Linked DNA regions of Oryctolagus cuniculus. The main gene of each other region encodes a partner of the protein of the gene in region 3 in a complex. Links are inferred from orthologs where the notes say so. Each region holds a gene or a part of one and is shown on either strand. Other genes may lie near its edges. The genes, in order: TNNC1, TNNT2 and TNNI3.

What was found.
Region 1: the proteins of TNNI3 (region 3) and TNNC1 are in contact, whole or in part, in a crystal structure (PDB 4Y99), measured with the Homo sapiens proteins. The link is inferred for Oryctolagus cuniculus from reciprocal best matches to the Homo sapiens genes TNNI3 and TNNC1. Residues at the interface, in NP_000354.4 of Homo sapiens: Glu32, Pro33, His34, Ala35, Lys36, Lys37, Lys38, Ser39, Lys40, Ile41, Ser42, Ala43, Ser44, Arg45, Lys46, Leu47, Gln48, Leu49, Lys50, Thr51, Leu52, Leu53, Leu54, Ile56, Ala57, Lys58, Glu60, Leu61, Glu64, Arg136; in NP_003271.1 of Homo sapiens: Asp3, Ile4, Lys6, Ala7, Glu10, Gln11, Thr13, Glu15, Gln16, Glu19, Phe20, Ala22, Ala23, Ile26, Phe27, Val44, Met45, Leu48, Gln50, Glu59, Met60, Glu63, Glu66, Asp67, Gly68, Asp73, Asp75, Glu76, Phe77, Met81.
Region 2: the proteins of TNNI3 (region 3) and TNNT2 are in contact, whole or in part, in a crystal structure (PDB 4Y99), measured with the Homo sapiens proteins. The link is inferred for Oryctolagus cuniculus from reciprocal best matches to the Homo sapiens genes TNNI3 and TNNT2. Residues at the interface, in NP_000354.4 of Homo sapiens: Arg68, Glu71, Lys72, Ala75, Leu76, Arg79, Gln81, Pro82, Leu83, Leu85, Leu88, Gly89, Phe90, Leu93, Gln94, Leu96, Arg98, Leu100, His101, Arg103, Val104, Asp105, Val107, Asp108, Glu109, Glu110, Arg111, Tyr112, Asp113, Ile114; in NP_001263274.1 of Homo sapiens: Glu214, Lys217, Lys218, Ile221, Leu222, Arg225, Arg226, Lys227, Leu229, Ile231, Asp232, Leu234, Asn235, Glu236, Leu239, Arg240, Ala243, Lys244, Leu246, Trp247, Ile250, Tyr251, Leu253, Glu254, Ala255, Glu256, Lys257, Phe258, Asp259, Leu260.

What each region holds. Positions count from the first base shown.
Region 1 is NC_091441.1:97,257,394-97,266,991, reverse strand, and holds TNNC1 (troponin C, slow skeletal and cardiac muscles), read right to left. Parts: upstream 5,570-9,598; 5' UTR 5,327-5,569; coding exon 5,303-5,326; intron 3,894-5,302; coding exon 3,863-3,893; intron 3,649-3,862; coding exon 3,502-3,648; intron 3,299-3,501; coding exon 3,184-3,298; intron 3,028-3,183; coding exon 2,891-3,027; intron 2,815-2,890; coding exon 2,783-2,814; 3' UTR 2,639-2,782; downstream 1-2,638. Other genes in the region: NISCH (nischarin), read left to right, coding at 7,051-7,146, 9,095-9,178. UniProt on the Homo sapiens protein: Troponin is the central regulatory protein of striated muscle contraction. Tn consists of three components: Tn-I which is the inhibitor of actomyosin ATPase, Tn-T which contains the binding site for tropomyosin and Tn-C.
Region 2 is NC_091444.1:17,355,383-17,365,130, forward strand, and holds the start of TNNT2 (troponin T, cardiac muscle), read right to left. Parts: upstream 5,547-9,748; 5' UTR 5,093-5,546; coding exon 4,951-5,092; intron 4,853-4,950; coding exon 4,775-4,852; intron 4,449-4,774; coding exon 4,413-4,448; intron 3,727-4,412; coding exon 3,693-3,726; intron 2,860-3,692; coding exon 2,799-2,859; intron 2,499-2,798; coding exon 2,382-2,498; intron 1,996-2,381; coding exon 1,918-1,995; intron 1,507-1,917; coding exon 1,396-1,506; intron 444-1,395; coding exon 334-443; intron 1-333. UniProt on the Homo sapiens protein: Troponin T is the tropomyosin-binding subunit of troponin, the thin filament regulatory complex which confers calcium-sensitivity to striated muscle actomyosin ATPase activity.
Region 3 is NC_091449.1:3,697,894-3,707,509, reverse strand, and holds TNNI3 (troponin I, cardiac muscle), read right to left. Parts: upstream 5,183-9,616; 5' UTR 5,085-5,182; coding exon 5,043-5,084; intron 4,665-5,042; coding exon 4,578-4,664; intron 4,096-4,577; coding exon 4,054-4,095; intron 3,794-4,053; coding exon 3,662-3,793; intron 3,371-3,661; coding exon 3,281-3,370; intron 2,919-3,280; coding exon 2,742-2,918; intron 1,728-2,741; coding exon 1,644-1,727; 3' UTR 1,594-1,643; downstream 1-1,593. Other genes in the region: DNAAF3 (dynein axonemal assembly factor 3), read right to left, coding at 6,561-7,194, 7,273-7,347, 7,440-7,545, 7,745-7,859, 7,947-8,069, 8,153-8,278, 8,398-8,580, 8,728-8,885. UniProt on the Homo sapiens protein: Troponin I is the inhibitory subunit of troponin, the thin filament regulatory complex which confers calcium-sensitivity to striated muscle actomyosin ATPase activity.

The DNA.
Region 1 (9,598 bases), on a different chromosome or scaffold from region 3:
AATCCCTTTCTCCCCCCTAGCCTGGGCCACCTGCCCTCCAGGTCAGGCTGTGACCTTCTGCATGGGAGACCTCTACTGCATGAGGTCTGCACACCATCGACTGCCCTTGGTCCCCCACTCTTCCCACTCACCCACCTGCCTGCCTCTGCTTGCCTTGAGCCCCCCTTTCTCCTGGCCCGGCTTGGATCCACAACCCAGTGCGGTCACCAGACCCTTCGGAAAAGGGCCCGGAGGCCCTGTGGCTGCTGGCCTGCCGTGGTCGCCCATGTACCTCACTTCGCTCTATTCCTGCCTCACTGGCTATCCCCATCAGCACTGGCACGGCTCCCTCTGCTTAAGCGCAGGTCCTCTCCATGGCAGCCTGTCCCGGTGTCCAGCCTGGCCAGCTGCCCTGCCCCTCAGCCCTCTCCAGGCAGGCTCGCTGAAACCCTCCCCAAGTGGCCACGGCCCAGGGCCACGCGCTTTCACCCACACTTGCTTCTTCTCCTCCTGGCTGCTGGGCCCTGGCTCACCGAGGGTCTCTCCCTCCTGTGGCTGTGACCCTTCCCCCAGACTGCCTGCGTTTGGGGGTTCCAGCACCCAGCCCAGCACCCCTCTTGTCCAGCTCCCCTGGGGGCCTCCTCCATGCCCGGGCTGGGAACGGGCTTCTTGTGCCTGTGATAGCTGTGTTTGCGCGCTCTGCCTCCACCTGCTTTCATGTCCCTGCCACCTGTCTCGGAGGCATCTGCACACAGGGACAAGAGTCTGCTCGTCCTCCGTGCGCTCACACAGCGTCACCTGAGTCAGTCCTGGGGCCCCCCGGGCAAACCTGCATCGAGCGAGGAGCTACAAAACCACCGGCGGGGGAGCTCTGCAGAGGGGTCCAGGTCTTGGGGCAGTGTCACCCTCTGGCAGGGGTCGGGAAGCTCATGGCCGCTGGCGAGGTCTCAGGCTCCCGGGTCGGAGTGGACGTAGGGGGGACGCTGGGCAGCACGAGGGCACGTGAAGGAATAGCGCCCCCTCCGTGCTGACTTCCGGGGCTCGCTTGCTATGCTGTGGTTAGTTCAGATGTTAGCATTTGGGGAACTTGGGTGAAGGGCAAGCGGGAGCTTTCTGTGCTATTTTTGCAAGTCTGGGATTTCAAAATGTGAAACCCACTAGAGGAGCACAGGGGCCTCCGCTTCCCAGTACCCCACCGTGGAACCTGTGCCTCCCCGGCTTCCAGAGCCCGGGAATTGGCAGTTGGGCCAAAAGTCTAGCAGTCACTCCCGCCTCTTACTTCCTGCCTCTATGCCCATTCCTTCAGCAAGTTCTGCCCGTTCTGGTTCCAAAACGTGCCCTGAGCCCCTGCACCCCACTCCCTTCCCACAGCGTCCGCCTCACCCTGCCCCAGCCCAGGGGGTGCTCCTGCTGCCCCCACCTCCCCCTCACCTGGACTGAGTTTCTCGTGGGGCCTGGCCCTGACCCCTTCTCCCAAACCTGCTGAGGGAGGCTTGACTCCTCTCCCTTGCCCCACCGTGGCCAGTTCCCTGTGGTTCTTCAAGCCTTGCTCAAAGGACCAACAACTCCAGGAAGCCCTCCCAGACTACCTGCGGGCCCAGCACGCCTCCGCAGTCTCTATTCCAGCCCCACACTGGTGCTCCCATTGCGCTCGCTTCACTCTTGGTCTCCGTGGGTGGACCAGGCTTCACTCATGCATCCCAGCACCCACCATGGCCAGGCCCATGGCAGGTGTGTGAGTAAAAGGTGGGTGTGCTGTCGGGGGCTGTCCACTGTGGCCCTTTCATCTCTCTGGCTGCCCCTGCATGTCTGTAGGGCTCCCCGAGTTCTCCAGCTCCCAGGGCAGGCCTGAGGCTCCCGGGCAGCTCCTGGCAGCTCTGGCCCCCACCAGAAGCATCCCCAGAATTCCAAGAGTGTCTCTGGAATGCCAGGCCTGTGTGGGGAATTGCCTGGGCGGAGGCACAGGTGCAGAGGCCGGGACAGCTGTGGGCATTCTGGCTGGAGCCTGGGTGCCGGCGGCAGCTGCCCCTCCTGGGAGCGCCACCGCTGACACCTCGGCCTCCCTGCAGCCCCCACCGCCTCCCAGGGCGAGCCCCCTGTGCTGGCGCCGCTCTGGCCTGGGGAATCTGCACTGAGCTCAGAGGCCCCTGCCAGCCGCCAGCCTCTAAGAGTCACAGGAACCGGCCCATCACACAGAGCCCCAGCCAGGCAGCTTCACTCTTCTTCAAACTCCGGGGTGTCCTGCACGGTCCCGGCACCTCTCGAGGTCCCTGGGGTCCCGCCTGTGAAACGGGCGAGGGGAAGCAGGGCCGACGCGACGCCCCTCGGTCCCCAGGAGCTGATGTTTCTGTGGGTCGGAGCCAGGGCCTGCTGGGTCCCACAGGGCCAGCTTCCCCGCAGGCAGAGCTGAGAGGCACTGTACTGCCGGCTCCCTTCAAGGAGAGAAGCCCTGGGCTGCCACCTGCTCTGACCACAGCTGCGTCCCAGAAGCTTGTGCGAATGCATTACTTCAGCCATAGAAAGCAGTGTGCAGAGTGTGGAGCACGGCCACAGGCCCTGAGAGACTCCAAGGCTTCCAGCAGGGGCTGGGGATCCAGAGCAGGCGCAGACCCCGGGAAGGGCGCGGGCACCGGGAGGGGGCAGTCAGAGGCAGGCAGGCCACTGGGGGGCAAGGCTTTATTCACACCGCAGGCTGGGGAGGGATCCAGGGTCGGGGCGAGGGGCGGCTGACCCTCATGGCCCCGCCCCGGCGGCACCCCAGCTGGAGTCGGAGCATCTGGGCGGCTCCCGCTGAAGGCTGGGTCTATTCCACACCCTTCATGAATTCCAGGAACTCTGTGGAGAGAGGGCCAGGAGGCAGTGAGCGGGCCGCCGGGCAGGGCACGGCGGCAGGGCCCCGGCCCCTGCTCACCGTCGTAGTCGATGCGGCCGTCGTTGTTCTTGTCGCCGTCCTTCATGAGCTCCTCGATGTCGTCCTCCGTGATGGTCTCGCCCGTGGCCTGCAGCATGATCTTCAGCTCGTCCAGGTCGATGTAGCCGTCGGCGTTTCTGAGGGGGAGCCGGGGCTGCAGCTTGTGGGGAGGGCCGGAGGCACCCCTCACCCCCCTCACACAGGGTCCCTTCATCTCAAATTGGAGGCTGCCCACTGCCCCAGTTCTGCCCGGTCAGGGTGGCAGGCTCAGAGGTCAAGAGCAGCGCGCTCACTTGTCAAACATGCGGAAGAGGTCAGACAGCTCCTCCTCGGATTTCCCTTTGCTGTCGTCCTTCATACAGCGGACCATCATGACCAGGAACTCGTCGAAGTCCACCGTGCCGCTGCCTGTGGTGCGGGCGGCATGCCGTGAGGCAGCGGCCTGGACACAAGCCCCACGTTCTCCCTGCACCCTCACACCGCCTCTTGGAGGCGAGCGTGGTCAGTATGCCCATTTGACAGACGAGACAACTGAGGCTCAAACAGGCTAAACAGCCGCTGGACAGACAGAGCCAGGCCTGACCCCAGCGAGACGGGCAGGCGGGGCTCACCGTCTTCGTCCACCTCGTCGATCATCTCCTGCAGCTCCTCGGGCGTGGGGTTCTGGCCCAGCATCCGCATCACCTTGCCCAGCTCCTTGGTGCTGATGCAGCCATCCTCCGCGCCCAGCACGAAGATGTCGAAGGCCGCCTTGAACTCTGCATCAACAAGGTGGGGCCGGGGACAGAGAGAGAGCAGCGCGTCTCAGCAGCCAGGACCCCAGAGGGCCAGCTGCCAAGCTGCCTTCTTCCCTCTGAGACCGCTGAGGTGCCAGCCAGGGGGCCCAGCTTCTGGCCTCCAGCTGGGACTCCTCTCCTGGGACTCCCCCAGCCTGGCCCTGCTGTCCCCAGCAGTGCAGCAGGGGACACTCACCATTTTTCTGCTCTTCTGTCAGCTGCTCTACCTAGGGAGGAAAAGGGGTCTCAGGACACAGACTCAGGCCTTGGCTGCTTTCGAGGGAAGCAACTGTCCCACAGGTGGGAAGGCTGAAGCCAGGAGCCAGGCCACCAAGAAGAGACCTCAGCCCTCCCTTCCTGTCCCAAAGCCCTGAGGTGACACAGCTGGCCTCACTGAGGCTGGGCTCGGGGCCAGGGTGACAGGTGGGCACCCCCTCCAGGGCCAAGGTGACCCGGGGTAACAATAGCCAGTGACCACTCAACGCCCTTTCAGCCTCCCTAATGAAACCCAAGCTGCGAGGCCTGAAGGACAGCTGTCCCTCAGGCTGGGACAATAAAACTCGGGTGGGGACGGGCAAAGCCACCCTCTGTAACCTGACCAGGGTGACCACTGGGCTATTTTTAACGGGGGACAAAGTTAAACCTGGTGATTGTTCTGGGACTTCGGCATGCTGGGGGTGGGGCAGCGTTATCTGGCCCCCTGGCCTACTGCTGTCGCCTAGGGAGCCAAAATTAGTCCCCAGCCCCGCCAGGCCATGTATGGGCACTGGGCGGAGGGCTGCCTCCACCACCCCCCTGGTGGGGGTGGGTGGGCACACCCCCACAGCCAGCCATAGCCCTTCCCTGCCTAGGAGTGGGGCCGCATTCAAGGGGCTGAGGGAGGGTTCCCCTGGGGACAGCGCCTGGGCTCCCATGTGCTTGTCCCCGGGGCAGAGGTCACCCCCCCGGGATGGAACAGGGTCTGAAGCCCCTCAGTGACCCCAGCAGGGTGCAGGTACTTGGGGTGACCACTCTCCAGCCCTTGCTCCCTGACCCTCGTCCCCAGCTAAACCACTGAGCCCTGAGTTTACCCGTGGGCTGGGCCCCTCATTGTCGGTTCCCGTCTTCCCTGCCCCACCTCTCCTGCACGCACACCTAGTCCTTCCCTGCCTTGAGCTTCCATGCCCCTTCCCTAGCCCAGACTCGGGTCTTGCAGCCTGCTCCTCACGACCCCTGGCCACGTTCCAGTCAGCTAGGAAGTGGAGGTTGGAGGGGCACTGCAAGGGTGCGAGCGACAGGCTGCGAGGGGCAGGGAGGGCCAGGAGACAGGAGACAGCCACAGAGACTCAGAGAGGCAGCTCCAGGGGAGCTGAGAGATGCGGAGACATGATGCAGAGATGTGGCCGAGATGGGCACACAGCCTACAGACACGGGAAACAGGGGGCTTGACGGCAAAGGCTCTGACCCCCTCCACTCACCCTGCCAGCTCCACTAGACTGAACCCCCCCCCATGCCAGACCCACCGTCCCTTTGAAGATGCATGTTTGTGTGGGCCTCTCCTGGGTCCCCCCCACTTTGCTGGGGGTCCCCCCGCCCCCATTCTGGGCTAAGTTCCCAGCGGCTCCCCCACCCCAGCCCTGCCCCTCTGCTTCCTCACCGCAGCTTTGTAGATGTCATCCATGCTGTCAGTTCACAGGACGGCTGCTGGGGTTGCCAGCAGCCCTGGGCCTCGGCTTAAATAGCCCTGCTCTGCATTCCCGGCCCAGCCCAGCCCACCGCGGCGTGCAGCGTCCTCCGCCCCCTCCCCGTCCCGGGGAGCTCGGGCTGGCCAGACTCCCTGTGTCCTTTGCCTAGGGCAGGGAGCAGATGCAAGGCTGCAAGGAGCAGCCCTCTGCCCCTCACACCACACGTAAGACTCCCTAGAAAAGCTTCTTTTTTTTTAAAAGATATTTTATTTGAAAGGCAGAATAACAGGAGAGAGAGAGAAAGAGGGCTGGTTCCATTGGCTGGAACACTCTCCCAAACAGCAGCCAAATCTGGGCCAGGATGAATCCGGGAGCCAGGAACTCCAACCTGGTCTCCTACATGGGTGGCAGGAGTCTAAGTTCTTGAGCCATGGTTTGCTGCCTTCCCAGGCGCATCAGCAGGAAGCTGGATCAGAAGCAGATCAGTCCAGACTCGAACTGCAGTCTGAGACGGGACACCAGCCTTGGAAGCAGTGGCTTGCCCCGCTCTGCCACCCTAGACAGCTTTCTTGAACGAATGGGGGGAGGTAGAGGCCTCAGGCCACGCCTGCATGCGGCAGCTCAACCTTCCACCCAGTCGTGGGGATGCACACGACCGAGGCCCTGGAGGAGTGCTGACTTGGCCAAGATTCGGCAGTCTCGGCAGCCCTTGCCTTAAGCGAACCCTCCCCAAGTGAGGGACAAGGCCAGCACGGGGGGTGCAGGGCCCTGCGGAGAGATGCCAAATGCCAAGGCACGGTGCCATGGAACCGGTGAAGGACCGGGTAATCCGGAGCCCTTCAGCTGGAAGTGCCAGAGAGGCCACGGCCCAGGCCTCCAGTTTGCCCCGTGCTTGAGCCAGCTGCACTCAGATACCACCCCTAGAAACCTCCCCCTCCCAGCGTCTTCACCTGTAGCTGGGTCTTCCACTGGGTCAGGGCTTCCTTGCCCCTGGGCAGCACTGTGGCACCTGCCCGGGCGGGGGGGGGGGGCAGGGCCAGCCTGTCTCCCCCCACCTTGCGCTCAGGCAGGACACCACCTGGGGTTTCGCGCACAGCGGCCAGACCGTCCCCTTCCCTCCACCCACCATGCCAGCTCCTCTCCAGATTCCGCCCCCACCCCTGCGGAGCTCCCGCTGGATAAACTCCCTGGCTGGCAGACTACTCCGTGCTGGGCTCGCTAAGTTCTCCAGGGGCCACCGGGTCAGCAGATGCCCAAGCCTGGAGAGGTTTGGGACTGGCCGAGTCACGGGCCCAGCTCCTGTCTCCTGCCAGGAGGGGCATGAGTCTGACAGCCTGGGGATGCGCTACGACTGCCCTCTTTTCCGGAGAAAGAAACTGAGCCGGGCGGAACCGTAGCCCAGAAGGCCACAAGCCTTCCAGCCTCCTTTCTCCAGGGCTGGGACTCTTCGCTCTGCGTTCTGTTGCGCCGCCGCGGCGCCACGCAAACACAGGCGCCGGGAGCGAGCGGGTCCCGCGGGGTGCGCATGCGCGCCGGCGGCGGCTACCGTCCACTGCGCGCGAGGGGCGGGGCGAAGGCTGAGACAGCAGCGGGGCCAAGATGGCGGCGCAGCGCGAGGCGGGGGCGGGGGGCGGCGGGGGCCTGGGGGCGGTGGGACGCTGACCCCGCCCCCTGCTGCTGCCAGTCTGCGCCGAGCGGCTGTGGCGGCGGAGCCCCGAACATGGCGGCTTCGGCGGGCGGCTTCGGGCCCGAGCGGGAGGCCGAGCCGGCCAAGGAAGCGCGCGTCGTGGGCTCCGAGCTCGTGGACACGTATACGGTGTGCTGGGGGCGTGGGCACCCGCACCAGGGGTGGCAGCCGGAGTCAGGGTGTTGAGGAGGCATGAGGAGGGGTCAGGGTCCCGCGGCCGGTTGGAGTGGGTGGAGGCGTTTGCGGTTCCGAGGAGAGGGGCCTGGGATAGGAAATTTGGGGAGGGGTCTGGGTTCTGCAGGTCCGCAGGGAGGGTTCCGGAAAAGGGTATGCGATCAGAAAAGGAGACTTGGGTTAGGGAGGATCTGGGAATAAAGGGGCTCTGGGGAGGGAGAGGCTGTCCAGATGATGCGGACCCCTTCTAGATCCTCTAGGCCTGGAAGGGTGGTAGCCGTGGAGTGGGGGGAGCCTTGTCAGGGGGTCCGAGAGGGAAGGGGATGTGTGGGGAAGAACCGTGATGGATGCAATCAGGGTTAAGGACCAGGGCCCTGCCGGCGGGGAAGGAGAGGGGGCGGGGCTTGCTGGGGGTTGGCTGGGATGGCGGCAGAGATGTGCTCTGAGAAGTGAGGGGCTGTACTGGTATACAGGGGACCCTGGGGATCTGGTGGAGATGAGAAGGGTGGAGGCCAGCCGTGGGGAAATGGGGGGTGGTCTCAGAACTTGAACGCGGATCCAGAAACCGTGGGATAACCCCGTGGCTTTGGCTGTAGGCGGAGGTGGGGCAGGCAGCAAGCCCTGGCACATACTTCCAAGCCACAGGGGAGACAGGTCAGAAAGGGGGCTTGATTTCTGACCGTGGAGTAGGGGAGGGTAGGTGCCAAGCCATGAGCCTGGTGGGGTACCTGGCAAAAAGCGGCCCTGGGTTGGGATGCAGTGAGCACCTCCTGCCTTGTGCTTTGTTCCTGGAAGGTGGGGGGCTTTGACCCTGCCCCTGTGCCCACCCTCTTGGTCCACCTTCTAAGGCCCCTCCCTGGTGACTTTTCCTCTGGCTCTTTCTCCTTTGGGGGCTGGGGTGGGAAGAGGCACTGGGGCGGGTCCTGGAGCCACGGGCTTAAGCTGAAGTGACTCTTCTCTCAGTTCCCTGCTTGCCGCTGAGAAGGGCAGGAAACTTGGACTGGGGCCCCGCTAGGCGAGGGGTAGGACTGGCTGTCCCTCCTCTGTGGGCTGCAGTCAGCATGAGGCGGTCTCCATATCGGGCTGAGCCCCTCAGTGTGTGGAGGGGAAGTGAGGGTCCCTGCCGGCCCCCTCATTATCTGTCCCTGGGTTTGCCTCGTTGGACGTTAGGATGACGTCTGCCCTGTTGGCAGCATTTTGTATGAGAACTTCCTTGCTGCTTAAACCTACCAGAGTTTAAGAGGGAGAAACTGAGGCTCAGAACTTGGGCTCCGATTCACCTACATGAGTGATGCATAAGCCACAGCCAGGACATGGCAGAGCCAGGGTTTGGACCCAGGTCTTCCCAAATGGAAAGCCACGTTGCCTGCCTGTTAGGGCGCCGTTGCCTGCCACTGCCTCCCCCTAAGCTTCCTGGTCCTTGATTCCTCCTCAGCGCCAGAAACCATAGCCGTGAACCAGTTGAAAAAGTGGGGAAAGGATTTGCTTCCAGGAGGTAGACAGGGCACCGGGAAAGAGATACGGCAGAGAGACTGATCTCGCTGGTCGTGGCCCTGCTCTGCATGCCTGGAAGGGGTGGCCTCTGCAGCTAAGGCTGGGTTTGAACTCACTGGGAGCAGAAGGTGAACCAGAGAGGTGGCTCGTTGTACAGTCACGTTTCCAGTCCTCACTGATGGGTGGAGCCACAGGCCCATCTCCAGAGCTTCCCAGCCTCGGGGTCTGAGAGAGGGATGCCCTGCTCAACAGGGGTCAAGTGCAGAGGCCGCTGGACAAGGACAGTCTCTAATTTTGGCCATTTAGGAGCAGGGTGCTCTCTGAGGGCCCTGAAGTCATCGCTGTGGGGAGAGGGACCCGTTGTGGGCTGGCTCCCCCGGCCACTAGGGCTATTGCTTTCCCCTTTTAGGTTTACATCATCCGGGTCACTGATGGCGGCCACGAGTGGACAGTCAAGCACCGCTACAGCGACTTCCATGATCTACATGAAAAGGTAACCTGTGAGCCTGTGTCTCAGCTTGGGGCGCTGGGGTCAAGTTCCTGTTACGCCACACATGAGTTTTAAGGCAAAATAGGCTGCTTGCCTGTAGTTTACTTCTTTGCTAAAGCAGCCTATTAATGTAATTGTGAAAGGAACTGGTGGAGGCCGGCGCCACGGCTCACTAGGCTAATCCTCCACCTAGCAGCGCGGGCACCCCAGGTTCTAGTCCCGGTCTGGGCGCTGGATTCTGTCCCGGTTGCCCCTCTTCCAGGCCAGCTCTCTGCTGTGGCCTGGGAATGCAGCAGAGGATGGCCCAAGTGCTTGGGCCCTGCACCTGCATGGGAGACCAGGAGAAGCACCTGGCTCCTGCCTTCAGATCAGCGCGGTGCGCCGGCTGCAGCACGCTGGCCACAACGGCCATTGGAGGGTGAA
Region 2 (9,748 bases), on a different chromosome or scaffold from region 3:
GGACCTGAGAGAAGGGAGGGGAAGGGGAGAAGCCCCCAGCCCTGCAGAGTGTCCAGTTCAGGCGCCCCCCCCACACCCACCGCCAGTGGGCAGCTGAGGGAGCTGGAGCTCAGAGGGCTGGGATGTCCGCTCAGCTCTCCCTGCCTGTCTCCAAAGCCCTGGCTGGGATGGTCAGGCGCGCTGGTGCCAGACCCCAGGTCCACCAAACTCACCTTGGGAAAATGTGTGAGGTCGTGGCGCCCTCTGGTGGTTCAAAGTGGGACTGCCCTTTGCCCGCTCCCCGCCTGGCCCAACCCACCCCAAGCATATCCTGGTGGTGCCCTGGGCCCCCACCTCAGCTGATCTTCATTCAGGTGGTCAATGGCCAGCACCTTCCTCCTCTCGGCTAGAATCTTCTTCTTTTTCTCCCGCTCAGTCTGCCTCTTCCCACTTTTGCGCTCTGTCTGAGCAGGACAGCAAGCAAGGAGAATCCTCTAGAATGTTCCTGACCCTGCCCCTGGCCCTCCCTAACCCCTCTGGGGAGGGGGCAAGGCCTGGCAAGGACCAGGAGCTGACCATCTTGCTCCCACATCTCCCCACCCTATCGCCTGCCCGGGTTCCCGGGGAAACTGAGGCAGAGGTCAGGAGGGTCTCTTCAGCACCACCCTCCAGCAGGCTGCTGTCCCCTCCCAGGGAGCGCCCCAAAACTATGGGGAGGAAGAGGGTTTGAGGACTGGTACCCACCTGGGCCTGCTAAACCAGGAAAGCAGGAGAGAAAGAGCCAGAGAGAGAGAGCAACAGGGAACAGAGACGGTGGGGACGGGGTGGGGGAGGGGACAGAGGCAGAAACACAAGGGAGAAGATTCAGAGCCCGCCTGGCTCCCCTCCCCTCGCAGCCCGGGGCGGGCCTGGTGAGGCCACCACAGGGCAGAGGCAGCATGGCTGGGCTGGGGACCTTAGGGGTCTAAGACAACGGCCCTCCACTGCAGGAGGAAAGCGCTGTCGCCCTGAGGACTGGGGCCAGCGGGAGCTGACAGGGATGGCAGGACTGGGAGTGGGATCCCAGGAGCGGCCACTGTTCGTCTGTGTAGCCCACAGGCGCCTTGCAGGTGAGCAGGGGGCCGGGCGGGACACCGAGTCGCTGGGCGGGGGCGGGGGCGGGGGCGGCCCCACGGCCGCAGGTGACAGCAGAGCTGGGCATCCAATCAGAGCTCTGATGCTGGGCTGTACCGGCCACCCTGGGGGCTCCTGGGCGCCGCCAGCATCAGGGTCTGCCCAGAGCTCCCTACCCCAGCAGAGCTAAGTCCACGGCCATGCCGAGAGCCCACTCGGGGGCTGGCCCGAGCAGGCCTCCACCTCCCACCGCTTCCTGCCGGGACCCAACCTGAACTCCGGCAGCCCCCGGCCGGCCCCCACCTTCTGGATGTAGCCCCCGAAGTGCATCATGTTGGACAGCGCCTTCTTCTTGCGCGCCTCGTCCTCCGCCTTCCTCCTGCTCTCCTCCTCCTCGCGCCGGGCGCGCTCTTCCTGATGGGCAGGGGAGCGGGGAGAGGGCAAGTCGGGGGCAGGCCGGGGACCCCCACTTCTGGGCTGAAAGGGGTGGTCTCACGGATGGGTCCACTTTTCCCCCTGCTGGCCCCGGAGCTCTCTGTGGGTGCCCCCAGCCCAGGCCCGGCCCTCCGGAGATTGTGAGCTCCAGCAAGGGAATGGACGGGCTCCTGACTCCCCCAGCAAGGCCCCTGCAGCCCTCCCTGGAGCTGTGTGGCTTTGGCAGGGCGGCCACGAGCCCTCAGGAAAAGGGCTGGGGGTTCACAGGCGGCTGTGCTGGGCCATGGGCGACATGGCCTGGTCTTCAAAGGCCAAGCTGGTGAGGTCCGGGAGGGGTCCGAAGACAGGACAAAACCGTGCGTCCAGGAGCAGGGGCCACGGGGCACTCACAGCCAGGCGGTTCTGCCGCTCCTTCTCGCGCTCCGCCCGGATGCGCAGCTGCTCGGCCCGCTCCGCACGCCGCTTCTCCTACAAGGCAGACAGGCGGAGGCTGCCCAGCGCGCCCCGCAGAGGGAGCCCAGAACCCACGGTGGGGGGGAGGGGTCCTATCACAGCCCGGGCCTGGCTTCGGCTCTGCGGGGCCCCCAGATGGATCGGACGCAGCTCCTGCAATCGGGGAGCATCCAGTCCAGGGCCGGAGAAGGCGGGGTCCCAGAGCTGCTCAAACCTTCCGGGATCCTGCAGGACAGACCCCAGCCAGCAGGGTGAGGGGCTCCTGGCGGCGGTGGGCTCTACCCACAGGGCGTGGCCCCCCCCAGCAGGGTGAGGGGCTCCTGGGGGTGCTGTGGGGCGGCGGTGGGCTCTATCCACAGGGTGGGCCCCGGGGAGCCTCTGGCGGGCGACTTGAGACCTACGATCCTGTCCTTGAGAGAAACCAGCTCCTCCTCCTCCTTCTTCCGGTTCTCGAAGTGCGCCTCGATCAGCGTCTGCAGCTCGTTCAGGTCCTTCTCCATGCGCTTGCGGTGGATGTCCTGCAGGGGGCGCCCCGGGGCTCAGGAGCCTCAACACCCAGACCTCCGCCGGCCAGCCAGCCTGCGCCCAACGCCAGCCCCATACACCACGAGGTCTCTCTTGTCTTCTCTCTCTCTCCCACCCACCAGGGGCCCTAGGGACCCCCGCCACCTCCCAGCCCAGCCTGCGCCCCACGCAATCCCCAGGCACCATGAGATCGCTCACTCCCTCTCTCTCTTGCTCTCGCCCTCTCACCAGGGGCCCTAGGGACCCCCGCCGTCCCCCCAGCCCAGGCCTGCTCTGCCCACGCCGCTGCTCACGTCGAAGTCCACTCTCTCGCCATCGGGGATCTTGGGCGGCACCAAGTTGGGCATGAAGGGCCTGTGGGAGGAGAGAAGGGGCGAGTCGGGGAGCCGGCCCTGGCACACGACCTCGAACTTGCCGCGTGACGTCAACTCTGCTGCGTGACGTCGACCCCGCCGCGTGCGCCGGCCCCAACACCTACGCCTAAAGGAGCTCTGGCGTCCACCCCGCACCCGGGTGTTGTACCTGGTGCGCCGGGAGGAAGGTGGCAGTGGGATTCTCGCTTAAGGAGAGGGAGCGGGGAGAGGCGAGGAAGCAGGAAGCTGTGATGGGAAGGCGGGCCTGTGGGACGCCAGCTCCCCGCCTTGCACCCGGCAGGACCGCCCCGGGACCCGGACCAGCGCAGTCTCAGCTGGTGGGTGACCCCAGGCCCAGGCGGGCGCGCGCACGCCCGGGTGGAGCTGACGTGAGGTTTGCAGCGCAGGTGCTGGGACCGCCTGGCCAGAGCAGGTTCCCGCCACCCACTGAGAGGGGCAGGAGTGGAGGTTCCATCGGCATGGGGAATACCCCCCCAAGCCCACCCCACCAGGGGGGTCGACCTCTGCCCTCGGCAGCTCTGTGGCCACCACCGCCACTTCCCTTTTGTCCCAGGGCCACCCCAGCCTCAGAGGGTGGTGATCTGGCCACCCTGTGCCTGCTCGGGGCGGACGCTGGTCCACCTGCTTCCTCAACAAACGCGCCAGGGTGGAATTCAGCCCTCACCCCGTGTGCAGTGTGCAACCTGTACAACTGTACATGGCAGTGTGGGTAGTGTGTGCTGCCACACCCCTAGCCCGTGCCACCTGCGCCCATCACCCTCCTGCACTGGCCCGGCCCCTCCCAGGGCTTCACCACAGGTCCATGCCACTCACCTGGGCTTGGGTTTGGACTCCTCCACGGGGCCATCTGCAGAGGAGAGCACACAGCCGCGGGGTCAGGAGGCCCCAGCCCCCCCCCCCACCATGAGCTGGCACCTGTGGGCCCCTGTGAGGCCAGGCTGACTCCCACAGCAGTCCCCAGGGGAGGGGGGTCTCAGGGGGCAGCCGCGTCCCCCGGCCACACTCTCAGCATGGACCTCAGCATGCTACTTCAAGGTCTGCTCTTGTCCGCCATGGCCTCTGGGGCTTCGCAGCCAGGAGGGTCGGTGGCCAGGTCCCCGAGGTGGTCCCACAGTCCCCTCCCAGGTCTCTTGGTTGCCCCCTGGACTTCCTGGTGCTGGGAGCTAGGTGCCCTAGCTGCTGTCTGGCCCTGGAGGTGAGGCTGAGACGATGTTCCCGGAAGGGCTGGGGCACAGGATGACGGCAGCAATGCCGCCCCCACCCCACCCTGGGACCCTCCACGCCCCGGGGTTTCTCCCCCACAGACCCCACACCTCCCAGTGGTTTGAGCTCTAGGAGCCTCATGGAGGGCGTGACTTCCGGGTCCCAGGGGCTGGTCACTGGTCCCATTGTCACTGGCCACCACTAAGACAGCTCCCGGGATGAGAAGGGGTGAAGGCCCAGAGCACCACACCTTGCAAGGACCCCCAGTCCCATCCTCTCCTTCGCTGGCCCCTCCGCCTCCCCAGGGCTGCTGGGGGGGCCCACACTCACCTTCATCCTCTTTATCCTCCTCTTCTTGTCCATCTTCTAAAGGAAACATGAGAAATCAACAAAGGGCCTTGTTCTAAGTGCTAATCCTCCACCCACCCCAGAGTCAGGGCCTAACCAAGGGAGAGCTGCTGGTTTATGGGGCCAGGGGTCTGCACTCACATGCATGCCCCTGGGCCCAAGACTGCCTGAGCACTCAACCAGCATTCACTGATTGGCCAACTGATGGTTGTATCCCACCCAGCCAGGAGGGGCAGGTGCACAGGTGGAGGGCTGGAGGCAGGTGGATTTCTTTCTGCCGCAGGAATGGCTCTGGGGGGTGTTCAGCACCCCGCGAGCCCCCAGCCCCCAGCCCAGGGCCTTACCCTCGGCCTGGGTCTCCTCGGTCTCAGCCTCAGCTTCAGCTCCGCCCCCAGCCTCCTCCTCTTCCCCTGCCTCCTGCTCTGTAGAGGGGAACGAGACACAGTGAACACCCAGGCAGAGGCCGGGACAGAGAGTGGCCGGCCCTGCCCAGCACACTGGAGGGATGGCGTGGATGAACCTGGAGGCAACTGGCGTGAGTGACGAGAGGCTGCCTCGAGTGCTTGGTTTAAGCCAGAAGCCAGCAAACCGCAGCCCAGGGGCCACGTCCAGCCTGTAGACCATTGCTTCCGATAAAGTTTTATTGGCACAGCCATGTGCATCCACAGACTCGCGGCCTGTGGCCTGCTTCCTGCTCCGGCTGCAGGGTTGGGGATCCTGGGTGCCCTCAAGGTGTAAAATGCCACCCGCTCGTCTGCAGCCCACACCGTCAGGGCAGACGGGTGTGACCAGGACTGTGATAAGCACTGTAGCCATGAACCTGCCTCTCCTGCGGTCTGGGACTCCCCACTGGGCCTTTCTGAACACAGAGCCCGGGAGGGCCAGAAAGCTGGGTGGGGGTGTGATGGGTGCGGTGGGTGCTGTGGGCAGCAGCAGGGAAGGGGTGGGCCCAACGAGACTCAAGCCAGGGACTGGGGGGCCCGGGGGCCCTGTCTGCCTGACCTAGCGCCTCTTTCCCCAGGGGCTTCCCTGGGGCTATGACGCCCCCAGCCCCAACTTTCCAGCCCACAAGACAGGCTCCACCTGAGAGAAAGTGCTGGGGAAGCCCCCGTCCTGAGCCCCCCGCCCCCCATCTGAAGGAACCAGCAGAGCGAGACTGAGGATGGAGGAGCTGCCTGGCAGTCAGAGGGGCTGCCCTCGGCAGCAGGCTGCGGGACCCTCTGTTCCCACCCACATGCTGGGCAGGATGCGGACCCCACCCTGCTGAGACGCCTGGAGCAGACAGACGGACAGACAGGTGAGGCGGACAGGGTAACCCCTGGCCCGTGCTCTGCCCGTAGGAAGTGCTTGGCAAGGGTCCTCGGTGACCGAGACTGACACAGTGGAGAAGATTCTTCCAGAAGGCATGAGAGTAGATGCCTGGCCCGCAGTGGCAACCGCCATCAGCTGCGCTGCCCCTCCCAGGCGGCCCCCGCATCCTGACTCCTCCCTGTCAGACCCGTGCTCTCTGGAACGAGCCTCGCCTGTCCCCCTTGCCCGAGTGCTGTCCCTGGGTGCCAGGAGCAGGTCCAGTGCCACCCCAGGGGCCATCTGCAGGCTGACACCGTGTTCCCTCTGACCTGGCCATTTCCAGCCCCCAGATCACTTGGTCCCCAGGCTCCTGCCACCGGCCACCTGCCTGGGTGCTGCCTGGCTCCTACGGAGGGCCCACACACAGCCCAGCACTGTGCAGTGGGTGGGTAGGTGGGGCATCTCAGCCCTGATATGGGCCCCTCAGTGGCCACACAGGGAGACAGCCAGCTGGCGTTTCCCAGCCCATAACCCTAAAGGAGAGATGTGATGACCAGCTCAGAACTGTGGCCCTGACTGGCCCCCTCTAAGGCGGGGGCCAGGCGCTGGCACCGGGGACAGCAGGTGCAGGAAGCAGAGCCGGGGGGAAAGGTACAGTACCATCTTCGTCCTCTCTCCAGTCCTCCTCTTCTGAGGGTCAGGGGGCAGCGGCAGCCAAGGGAGAAGCGAGACAGGTTAGTTCGGAGCAGAGGCGAGGCAGCGGTGGCGGGCGGCTGGCTGGTGCCTCTCGCACTGTGGCCCGGGTCCCCGCTCCCGGGCCAGCGCTCTGCAGCATCGGCTCCCCTGAGCTTCGGGCACCTCCACAGTCCGAGGGAACACCCCCACCCACCTCCCGGCCCGTGACCACTGAGGGGAGCTGGCCTGGCGTGCCCACCAAGGACTGCCACCAGGGGAGCCATCACGAATGGTAACCAGCAGCTGGGCTCTGGCTCTGGACCACGGAGCCTTGGAGAGGCTGTGCCCAGGAAGGAAGCTGCCCCGTGCAAGGCAAGCCCAGCGCCATGACCACGGGGCACAGCTGAGGACTCAGCCCTCGCTCCGGCCCAGGAAGGGGCGACAGCAGGTGGAAGAACTCTCCGGAAGCAGAGGCACTGGGAACGCCGCCGTGTAGGCGACAGGGCTTCCTTCCAGAGCTTGCTCCCCGGCGTCATCTACACCAGGGTCCCCGGCTGCGTGGGGGCAAGTGTCGGCCAGTCACGGCAAGCAAGCGGGGCTGCGTGAGGCGAGGCAAATCCTACTGCGTGCGGCAGGCAGCCGGGTCCCCATCCGGGGGGCTGGGTCTCAGCACCCCCCCAACTCAAAGCCTGTTGCCATAAAGTGGCAAATCCTCCCAAGCAAACAGAGACCCCTGTGTCAGGAGCGTGGCCGGATTTGAAGGCTACACCTGTGATTCAGAGGCTGCCACGGATCATGGATGAAATGCGCTGCTCCTTGCAAACCAAAAGGCAACCCCGGTGGCCTCTGACTGCGCTCCCGTGAGCTCTTGTCTTCTCTGGGACAGCCCCCATCCTGCAGGAGGCTCCTGCGCTGTTCCCTTCGAGGCCTGGGGATGTGGCAGGAGCCAGCCCTGGAGCCCCGGGCCCTGCCAGGACCCTCGGGGGATTCGGTTCTCCCAACGGCCACACAGCAGGAGCAGAAGTGCTATTTCTAAGACTTTGCTGGACCACTAAGAAGTAGGGTGCAACCTTGGGGGCTGGGTGGGCTCTTGGGGGAGGCCTCCGGGGGATTGCCACGCGTCAAGTTCTCGAGAAGCAGCAGCGGCAAAGATGGGCTTCCAGCGAGCGAGGGGACCAAGGCTGAGAGCCAGGGGCTCGCAGAGTGGAGAGGAGGGACCCTGCCAGGCGGCAGTCGGGACACACGCTCCAGCCAGTGTGAAACACCGTGGACAGCTGAGCGCCTGCGCTGTGAGCTCATTTGATAAGGGGGGCTGGGCTTGTGTGCTTTAAACAGCGCCGCCCTGTTGGCCCAGGAAGCCTGGGCTGTCAGTTCTCCGCTGGACGCCCGTGTGGGCACATGCGTCACTGCAGTGAGAAAGCTGGAGGCCGGGGGGAGGAGGGGCTGCCAGGAACCTGTCCTGCTCCCAAGGAGCTTACCAGCTGCAGCTTCCTCTGCTGGGAGCACAAGGCCAGGAGTCAGGAGAGAAGAGGGGTGAGGGTCAGTCTCGAACCCCACTGTCTTCCAGCCAAAGGGACACCCAGCTGTGCTTACCTTCCTGCTCCCTGTGTGCAGAGAAGATGCTGTCAGCAACAGCCACGCACGCACACACGCCGCGCCGTCCCGAGACCACCCCGGGGTCCCTCTCCCTCCCTCCCTCTTTGCTGGTGGAGCCCACACCCTCTGCCTGCCCTGCATCTTCTCACCTCGCCTCTGAGCGCTCCCCAGGGGTGCACCTGTTTAGAAGCCCCTCCTCCCAAACTCTTCTCTGCAAATCCTGCAGGCAGTGCAGCCCCTGCTAGCTGAGTCCCCCCACCCTGATGGGCTCTGTGGTCTCGCGAGAGGCCCCCAGCCCTTCTGGCTCGGTTTCAGGGAACCGGCTTCCCAGCTTCTCTGCTGGTGGCCGGCGCCCTCGCCAGATCGGTCCCCCTGCCCCCTGCACTGAGCCCCGCCCCAGACTGTTGGGGGACTGGCTTTGATCACCACAGGGCCTGAAAACAGTCACAGCTACTTCTGCCCTGTAGGCCTTGGAGCAGGTGCTAAGTGGGGGAGGGGACAAGCCCTGGCCAGCAGAGGAAACCCCTCCCCCATACTCACTCCTCGTACTGCTCCACCACTTCTTCCAAGTCAGACATGGCTGCTGCTCTCCCTCCAGAAAGAGAAGACGGTCAGTACGGGCGGGAAGGGCAGCCAGCCTCCCGCAGGAGAGCCCTGCCCCCAGGTGTGCACACACACACACACACACTCGTGCACAAGGAAAGCCGGGAAGTCTGCGAGGCTGGACCCACGTCCACGTGGTGACTGATGCTGCCCTGAGCCTTGCAGATGGTAGCGCCGGAGCGGGGGTCCTGGGCAGCAGGACATAGGACCCCTCCGTCTTGTTTCTTTTTTCTTTTTTTTTTTTTTGACAGGCAGAGTGGACAGTGAGAGAGAGAGAGAGAGAGAGAGACAGAGAGAAAGGTCTTCCTTTTGCCATTGGTTCACCCTCCAATGGCCGCCGTGGCCGGCGCACCGTGCTGATCCGATGGCAGGAGCCAGGTGCTGCTCCTTGTCTCCCATGGGGTGCAGGGCCCAAGCACCTGGGCCATCCTCCACTGCACTCCCAGGCCATAGCAGAGAGCTGGCCTGGAAGAGAGGCAACCGGGACAGAATCCGGCGCCCCGACCGGGACTAGAACCCGGTGTGCCGGCGCCGCAAGGCGGAGGATTAGCCTAGTGAGCCGCGGCGCCGGCCCCGTCTTGTTTCTTACAGCTATGAGTATCCCAACAAAACTTTCAGCCAAAACTGGGTTTCCTGGGGCGCTAGTTTGCTCCCTGCACTAGGAACAATCCGGATTCAAACTCTCTTCCCTCTGCTTGCCGGGGGCGATTGGCCAGGGCTTTCTGTCAGTTCTCCGTCTGGACTGTGGAGATAAAGTGTACCTATCCTGGCTCCCAGCAGCCTTTGCGAGGATCGGGTTGACATTAGTGGAAGAGGAAGGCATTAGGCAATGTCAGGTGCTTCTGTGCCCATGCAGTTACAGGGTGGGGCCGCAGGGACTAAGTGGGCGCTGGAGTGGGAGACTCGTCTGGCTTTGAACACTGGCCTGTGTGACCTTCGAAAGGTCACTTCCCTCCCTGCACCTGGGCTCTCTTAGCTCTGAAATTGCTCCTGTTCTGGGGCAGATGTGAGACTTGAAGCCGGGGTAGTGTGCCTGCCCCCCACGGGCGTCCAGCGGAGAACTGACCGCCCAGGCTTCCTGGGCCAAGAAACGTGAACGGCGCCCCCTGCCGCTGTGCACTGTGTGGCCCTGTCGGCTTCAAGGGCGAGAAGGA
Region 3 (9,616 bases):
ACACACACACACACACACACCCCGCGTCCCTGAGACCCTCCACACCACACACACACACACACACCCCGCGTCCCTGAGACCCTTCACACCACACACACACACACCCCGCGTCCCTGAGACCCTACACACACACACACACACACACACACCCCGTGTCCCTGAGACCCTCCACACACACACATGCACACACACACACACACCGTGTCCCTGAAACTACACACACACACACCCCGCGTCCCTGAGACCCTCCACACCACACACACACACACACACCCCGCGTCCCTGAGACCCTACACACACACACACACACGCACACCCCGCGTCCCTGAGACCCTCCTGGCCCAGGCTCAGAGCCCTTCCAGTCCCACCCCCTGGATAACCCACTTGTGGGCCCGGCTACCCCACGGCCCCACACCGTCAGGATGGGCACCCTGGGGCCCAAGCTCAGGGCTCAGCACCACACCCCGAGCTATGGCGCTACAAATGCTGAGACCCGATTCCCAAAATCCCACACTCAGACCCCTCCCCGGTCCTGATACCCCCAGAGCTGGAGACCCCCAAACCTGCCACTCAGACTATCTGACAGCCGAGCCCAGAACACCCCTCCTGAGGTCCCTGCAGACTCCGGAAGACACCCCGCATTCGGCACCCAGGCGCCCTGTGCTCTGAGCCTGCTCCTCCCAGACCCCAGCTCTCGCGCTCCGTCCAGGGCACTCCGTGGGGACGGCAGAGCCCCGTTACCTAAGGCTGGGGATGCAGACGCTGGATCCGCAGGCTGAGCCTTGCCTGGCCTGGCCTCGCTGAGGGCTCTGACGCACCCCGCGTTTATAGGGGTTTATAGCTGCAGGCTGAGCCCCGCCCCTGGGGCGCGGGGTGGGGGGGAATTCCTGAGCTCAGAGGAGGCCCAGCCCCTTCTGGCTCCAGAGTCAGGGTCCAGGCATCTCCTGGCTGCTCCAGGGCCCAGGCCTCCCCATGGGTGGTCTCTGAGCCTCTGTCTGTCCTGTGTGTGTCCCTGTCCCCGCCCCCACCCCTTTGTCTGCCACCAGGATTCCGCTCTGGTGACAAAAGGCTCTAAAACCGGGAGGCAGGTGTGGGGGGGGGGAGAGGATGGGGTGACAATGAGGCTGGCAAGCCCTCCCCCCAGTCCAGCCATGACCTTGAGAGAGCCCTGGACAGCAGGCTTCCTCCCCCCGGGGACCTGGCTGCCCTTCTCAGGGTCTCCCAGGGCTCTGTCCTTGTCCCCCTCTGGCCCCTGGGTGTGTGTCCTGTCGATGGCACTTCCGGGCGGGCCTCTGTCTGGTGCTCGGGGTCCCTGGGCGAGTCTGTGGCTGTCCATGTCCTCGTGTGTCTTTCTAGCTCCTGTCGGTCACAGGTTCCCTGGGAGTCTGTGCCCGCTGTCTTCCGTCTCTCTCTCTCCTCCTTTGCGTCTTTGGCTCAGTCCCTCTCCCGTGGGCGTCTCCGTGGGTGCTCCCCGTCGGCCTTGTCCTTGGCCTCTGCGTGCACCCCACGTGCAGCCATGAGCGCCCCTGTCGGAGGCGCAGGGCGGCCCCGCCCCCGTTCCCCCCAGTGTCCAGCACACCAGGACGCGGCCACTGCAGTTCGGAGCAGCTTTATTCAGCAGGGCGGGCCGGGCCGTGCGGGGCTCAGCCCTCGAACTTCTTCTTGCGACCCTCCATGCCGCTCAGCAGGTCGATGTTCTTGCGCCAGTCTCCCACCTCCCGGTTCTCCTGGGGGTGCGGTCAGAGGTTAGGGTCTCCTCCTGGTCCCCTCTCCCTAAGCCGCTGCGGGCAGGACCGCTCCACGCTGCCTGTCCCCTACAGTCGGCCGAGTTCTCTTAACTGCCTCTTGTCCCAGTCACACACTTCCTGTGTCATGCACTTCATGTCTGTCCCCTCATGCACTTCCTGCCTCCCCTCATGCACTTCCTGTCTGACCCCTTATGTACTTCCTGTGTCATGCACTGCCTGTCCCCTCATGCACTTCCTGTCTGACCCCTCATGCATTTCCTGTCTGTCCCCTCATGCACTTCCTGTTCCCTCATGCACTTCCTGTGTATCCTCCTCATGCACTTCCTGTCCCCCTCCTGCACTTCCTGTCCCCTCATCACTTCCTATGTCCATTATGCACTTCCTGTCCCCAATGCACTTCCTGTATCATGCACTTCCTGTGTGCCCTCCTCATGCACTTCCTGTCCCCTCATCACTTCCTGTCCCCCTCTCCTCCTCATGTACTTCCTGTCTCTGTCATGCACTTCCTGTCCCCCTCATGCACTTCCTGTCTGTCCCCTCATGCACTTCCTGCGTGTCTCCCCCATCACTTCCTGTCTCCTCATCACTTCCTGTCTGTCATGCACTTCCTGTCCCCCTCATGCACTTCCTGTCTGTGTCCCCTCATGCACTTCCTGTGTGTCTCCCCCATCACTTCCTGTCTCCTCATCACTTCCTGTCTGTCATGCACTTCCTGTCCCCCTTCCTTTGTCTCCTCCCAGCATCCTTCTCTCTCCCTCATGCACTTCCTGTCCTCCCTACCTACTCTTGCCAATGCACTTCCTGTCCTCCTTCCTACTTCCTGTCTTTCTCTTGCACTTCCTGCGGCCCTCCCATACTTCCTGCTGAGGACCCCTCACCAGCTGCCTGTCCCCTCAGCTCCAGGAAGCATCTGCCCAGGGGCCAGACCCTGGGGCTGCTGCCGCAGCGGCCCCTCACCTCGGTACCCCTTCCCTGGCCCTGGCCCGCGCTCACCTTCTCCGTGTCCTCCTTCTTCACCTGCTTCAGGTGGGCCCGCAGGTCCAAGGTCTCCTTAGCCCGGGTCCCCAGCAGCGCCTGCATCATGGCGTCTGCAGAGATCCGCACCCTCCGCAGGGTGGGTCGCTTAAACTTGCCCCGCAGGTCAAAGATCTTCTGGGTCAGGTCTGCAATCTGGGGGCGGCCACACTGGAAGTGGGGACCCCTCCCTCCTGCGGCGCCCCCTTCCAGCATCTCGGCCTCACCCAGCCTCTCCCCAGCTCCAGCTCCCAGACCAAGCTTCCAACCCTGGGAAACTGAACCCCTCTCCTGCAACCCAGCCTCGTTCGCAAGACCACCTGCTCAGCTCCACCTGAGCTCACTTCCTTATGCCCCACCCCCCACTCACATCCCTCCCCAGCTTCGCATATGCCGATCCTGCCTGGAACGGCCTTCCCTGCCCGTATCCCGCTGCCACCCTGCCAGGCTCATGGACTTGTCCCCGTCCCCTGGGGTCTGCGACTGAGGGCTGAGACCACAGCCCCAGGCGCCCGCACCTCGGTGATGTTCTTGGTAACCTTTGCCTCTACGTCGTATCTCTCTTCGTCCACCTTGTCCACGCGGGCGTGGAGCTGTCTGCACAAGTCCTGGCGGAGGAATTCCGAGTGTGTTGTGGGGGGCAGGCCAGAGGACCCTTGAAATCCTGGTCTGAGGGAGGAGGGGCCGGAAGTGGCCTTGAAGGGGGCGACGCTGGAGCTGCGGCTCCAGGGACAGGCACGCAGAGGTTGTATGGGAGCCGGAGACTGACGGGCTTGGGCTGCGGGGAGCCGGCCCTGGGCTTTGTGGCTGTGCGTGGTTGCAGGCCAGATTCTGCTTCCCTGAGGGGACAGGCTACGACACTGGACCCCCGGTCCTGAACGGAAGGTGGGCGCGGGTACCTGCAGCTCGGCGAAGCCCAGCCCCGCCAGCTCCAAGGGCTGGCACCGGGTGCTCAGAGCGCGCCCCTTCTCTCCGCGTCGCTCCTCCGCCTCCCGCTCCAGCTCCTGCTTGGCGATCTGCAGCATCAGGGTCTGCAGACGTGGGCGGGGCGGCGTCTCGGGATAAAGACAGCGCCCTGGCACTCTGCAGCATCAGGGTCTGCAGGGGTGGGCGGGCGGCAGCCCACCCCGGGGTCTCAGGATGAGCGGGTACCCCTTTAACCCTAGGCCCCGCCCTCTCCGCAAGGACACGTCCAAGGCCCCGCCCCACCTACCCAAGCCCAGCCCTAATTTATGCAAGCCCCGCCCCCTGGTTAGCCTGCCCCCCACCCCCACCCCCGGTCGACCCTCACCTTCAGCTGCAGTTTCCTTGAGGCCGAGATCTTAGACTTTTTCTGCCGGAGTGACACGGTTGGATGGAGGACTGAGACCCTCCGAGGGGCGTCACCATCCCTTCAGGCCCGTCCAGATGTGCGCCCGCCTCCAACTTGAAGCCCGCGTCCAGAGGAAGCCACGCCCCTCGTCCCCGCCCACCAATCTGGGCTCAGACTCTGGCTAGGCACCGCCTACCCACCTCCTAAGCAACGTCATGGGCAACGGAGCTCCGCCTACAGGCTGCTCCCACCAATCCGAGCCCGGCTCCTCCCAAGCCCCGCCCACCAGCTCCTCGGCCCCGCCCACGACCATGTTCCCTCTTATCCTAGGCCCTGGCTCCGCCCACAGGCCGTTCCCACCAATCCGAGCCCGGCTTCTCCCAAGCCCCGCCCACCACCTCCTCGGCCCCACCCACGACCACATCTTCCTCATCCTAGGCCTTGGCTCTGCCCTTCCCTCCGTGGTCCCTCCTGGGTCCCGCGAGGCCCCGCAGCCCGCCCACCTTGGCGTGCGGCTCCGTGGCGTAGGCGCGGTAGTTGGCGGAGGAGCGGCGTCGCACCGGGGCTGGCGCGGGGCGCGCTTCCCCTGCCTGGCGTGGAGGGGCCCATCATCACCAAGACCCTGGCCCTGCCCCCTGCCCACCCGCCCACCTAGAGCCTGGGGGTCCCCACTCAGAGTCTCAGGGGTCCCCGCCCAGCCTCGGGGTCTCCACCCAGCCTCTACCCGGGGCGCTCACCGCATCCCGGCTCCTGCAGGGGAAGAACAGAGGCGGGATCAGGGTGGGGCCTGTGCCGCTCCAGCTCCTGGGGGACCCCAGAGGCCTCCCTGGCCCGGAGGTCACGTCCCAGGAGGGATCCCCACACTCTCACACTTCCCAGCCCGGGGTCCCACCCCTGACTCCGTCCCAGGTCCCGGGTTCCCCCTGGAGAGCCCAGGCACACGCCCCCACCCCCCACGCCCTCGAGACCTCGGGGGTCCGGTGGCCCAGCCTCACGCACTCGTCTGCCATGCTGACTCAGGAGTGGGCGTCCGGGTGACCTTGGAGCCCCCTGGCCGTAGGGGCTCCTCCGGGCTGCACAGGGCTCACCAAGGACACTGAGCTGAAGGGCGAGGGCCGACTAAATATACCTCCCCGCCCCTCCTCCGCTGGGGCAGATAACGGGGCGCGTGAGCGCACACGAGGGGCAGGCGGGCCGTGTGCAGCAGGGCCAGCGCCACCCAGGGACAGAAACTGGACCCCTCTGCTCGGCCCCCCAGACCTCCATCTCACCCAGGCCCCAACCCTCCTCCCTCAGACTCACAGAGCCCAGGCCCAGCCCTCCTCCCTCAGACTCACAAAGAGCCCAGGCCCCAGCCCTCCTCCCTCAGACTCACAGATCCCAGGCCCCAGACCCCCTCCCTCAGACTCACAGAGCCCAGGCCCCAGCCCTCCTCCCTCAGACTCACAGAGCCCAGGCCCCAGATCCTCCTCCCTCAGACTCACAGAGCCCAGGCCCCAGACCCTCCTCCCTCAGACTCACAGAGCCCAGGCCCCAGCCCTCCTCCCTCAGACTCACAGAGCCCAGGCCCCAGACCCTCCTCCCTCAGACTCACAGAGCCCAGGCCCCAGCCCCCCTCCCTCAGACTCACAGAGCCCAGGCCCATCCCTCCTCCCTCAGACTCACAGAGCCCAGGCCCAGCCCTCCTCCCTCAGACTCAAGAGAGCCCAGTCCCATCCCTCCTCCCTCAGACTCACAAAGAGCCCAGGCCCCAGCCCTCCTCCCTCAGACTCACAGAGCCCAGGCCCATCCCTCCTCCCTCAGACTCACAGAGCCCAGGCCCCAGCCCTCCTCCCTCAGACTCACAGAGCCCAGGCCCCAGATCCTCCTCCCTCAGACTCACAGAGCCCAGGCCCCAGACCCTCCTCCCTCAGACTCACAGAGCCCAGGCCCCAACCCGCCTCCCTCAGACTCACAGAGCCCAGGCCCATCTCTCCTCCCTCAGACTCACAGAGCCCAGGCCCCAGACCCTCCTCCCTCAGACTCACAGAGCCCAGGCCCCAACCCGCCTCCCTCAGACTCACAGAGCCCAGGCCCATCTCTCCTCCCTCAGACTCACAAAGAGCCCAGGCCCCAGCCCTCCTCCCTCGGACTCACAGAGCCCAGGCCCCAGCCCTCCTCCCTCGGACTCACAGAGCCCAGGCCCCAGCCCCTCCTCCCTCTGACCCCTAACCCAGCCCCATCCCAGACCCCGACCCCAGGACACAGGGACACAGGACGCGGCGTGCCAAGTACTGGACTCTTTATTCTCATCATGTGGGTGCCAGCGGGCCCGCCCGAGCCCGCCCCACCCCTGCGAGGAGGTGGCCGGCGCCAGCTGGGGGCTCCGAGGTGGAACCTGCAATCCCAGAGAACATTCCAGAACGCCAGGGGCGCACATGAGAATCCCAGACAGGGAACTCGAAATTCCTGCGGGGAGGCTGCTGAGGGTAAAACCAAGAGCTGGACTACGCGGTGACTAATTCCGGGGCAGACCCCTCCAGTCGGAGTTGGGGTACACTGCCGCGGGGGGCTGCCTCAGGCGGCGCCGGCGCTTCCGGGGCCTCGGAGCGCGGCGGGGAGGTCTCTGGGGGCGTGGCCAGGTGCTCAGGGGGTGGGCGATCTGCCTCAGGAGGTGGAGCCTGGCCTTCAGGGGGTGTGACCAGGTCCTCAATGGGCAGGCTCTCTGCCTTAGGAGGCAGAGCCAGGGCTCCATGGGGCGGGGCCTGGCCTTCCGGAGGCGGGGCCAGGTCATCATGGGGCAGGCTCTCTGCCTCTGGAGGCGGGGCCGGGCATTCTGGGGGCAGGGCCAGGTGCTCAAGGGGCGGGCTCTCTGCCTTGGGAGGTGGAGCCTGGACTTCAGGGGAAGTGACCAGGTCCTCAGTGGGCAGGCTCTCCGCCTCAGGAGGCGGGGTCGGGGCTCCGGGGGGCGTGGCCAGGTGCTCCGAGGGCGGGGCCCCGGACTCCCGGGGCTTGCAGAAGCGCGCGAAGGTGTCCGAGGGGCCGGCCTGGCACTGGGCTGTGAATCCCGCCGCCAGGGCCTGCTGGCCAACGCGGGAGCAGAACCCCTGCAGCTGCTGCTGCCGCAGGTCCACCAGGTACCTGGGGGCGACAGGGACGCGTCAGGGGTCCCCAGCCCAGACCCCCCCCCCCAGCCCGCTGCCTCTGCCGGCGGCTCACCGGGCCAGTTCCACAACCAGGCTGCCTCCGGGAGCCACGCAGGCGCCCAGCTCGGGGCTGAGCTGCTGGACCATCCTGCAGAGGGGCGGGGAGAGGCTGCGGTGGACTGGATGCGGCCCGGAGCGGACAAGGCCGGGCCCCGGGGCTGGGGGCGGCGCCCCTCTTACCCGCAGGCCACGTAGAGCAGCTGGAAGCGGCCTCTGTAGCAGCCTTTGCGGTGCAGGGCCTGGGCAGAGCCCAAGGGCAGGAAGTGGACGGAGAAGCGTGGGGGGGCTACAGGTGACGACAGGGGGTCAGCCCCGGGGTGGGGGCGTGCCCAGCAGGAGCCAGGGCCCGGCGCCGCCCTCCCAGGCCCCTGCAGGCAGGACCGCGGGAATCATTTAGGAAAGGAGCAGCCATCGAGGAGGAGGGGTCCCGGGTGCGGGCACTGCTGACCGAGCCCGGACACCGGCCGCTGGCGCCCCCGGCTCACCTGCGGGCGGCCGCAGGGGGCTTCGCTCCTGGCCCTCGGCGGCTCTCGGGCGCCCCCAGGCGGCCATCTCCCGTAACAGCTCCGTCACGTTGTGCTGCGTGATCTCGCCCGCGGTCTGTGTGCGGGACAGCGCGGCGCTTAGGGCACCCGGACTTACCGCAGCCGGATTCCGGGGCCGGGGTTTGGGGCTCCCGCCGCATACCTTGACCGGCTGTCCATTGCTGGTCCGCAGGAGCTCCTTGTCGTCGGCTTCGATGCCAAAGCCCACGAAGGGCCCCGTGGCGATGTCCCCCCAGTACCCGCGCGCCACCACGCGCTCCCCGCGCTGCAAAGGCAGGGAGGGGAGAGCCAGGTGACGCGGTGTTGGGCGCCCTGATTCCCGGGTCGGGGCAGGCAGTGGGCGCTCACGTGGAGCAGGAGTTGGCCGGACGCCAGGGTTCGGTTGGGCACTCTGTAGGCGCTGGAGTCTCGGAGCTCAAAGGCCACCCCGGTGTCCCGCCAGCGTCGGAACTCCTGCGTGTGGATGACCTGGGCCTGGCGTCGGGGAAGGCGAGGAGGGAGGTCTGGGAGATGCTGGAGTAGCCCCCCCCCCCCCCCCCCCCGCCTCGCAGCCTCCGCCCTCGACCCCCGGGGTCACCGCCCCGACCCCTTACCCCGCGGTCGTGCAGCTTCATGCGCAGGTCCCAGTCACTGACCCCGTGCCGCGCGTCGTAGCGGGAGCCCAGGTAGTGGCGCAGCCGCGAGTCCCAGAGCCGCCTCACGGGGAAGGCCTGGGGCCCCTTCTCTCGGCCCGCCCAGAAGCGGAACACGGCCTCCAGCATGTCTCGCTCGCGGAACTGCGCGGCCAGGGTCGAGAGGGGGCTCGGGGAGGGTCCCCGCGGGAGCCACCCCTCCCCCAGGCCAGGGGCTTGGGAAGCCAGGGTTCAGACTCCCGAATCCCCGCGGGCTCCAGGCGGGGAGATGGGCGGAGGCCGGCCCCGCACCTTGAGGGCGCCCAGGGAGAGCCACGGCAGCTGCTCCGCCAGGAGGTCGGGCTCCGGCACCAGGTGCGCCAGGCGCTGGGCCTGGGTGCGCACAAAGGCGGCCACCGAGGGGCGCAGCAGTGTGTTCCCCCACACCTCCAGGAAGGTCTCGCTCTTCTCTGGGTGGTGGGGAGGAATGGGGACGTTATTCTTGGCCAGGAGCTTAAGGAGCCATCCCGTGCCTCGCCCATCCTGGGGTGAGCGGGTGACAGCCCAGGGCTCCTGACTCCACCTCCCCAACCCACCCCCACATCACCACAATCTCCTGTCTAGATTCCCCTGCCTTCAAAAATAAAAAGGTGGGGGCCAGCGCTGTGGCACAGTGGGTAAAGCCGCTGCCTGCAGTGCCGGCATCCTGCATGGACTCCGGTTCGAGTCCCGGCTGCTCCACTTCCCATCCAGCTCTCTGCTGTGGCCTGGGAAAGCAGTGGAAGATGGCCCAAGTCCTTGGGCCCACGTGGGAGACCTGGAAGAAGCTCCTGGCTTCAGATTGGCACAGCTCTGGCCATTTCGGCCATTTGGAGAGTGAACCAGTGGAGGGAAGACCTCTCTGTCTACACTGACTCCCGTGGGGAGGCTCTGCGACCCCCGCCCCTCAGCGTGGCAATGGCTCCCGGGGAGAGTGGACTCTGGTCTGGGACCACGCGGCAAAGCCGAGCGGGCATCTGAACACAGCCTGAGTCAGGGCTGCTCCGGGCGCTGAGCGGGGGTCGCCAGCAGGAAAGGACCACTGCCCGCCCACGCTGGGCACCCCCTCCCCGCGGGGACCCTGCTGACCCCGCGGAGGACTTTGGGGCCACAGCTTCCCGCATTTCTCTGTGGCTGGGGTGGGGGGCGGGGTAGCTATTTC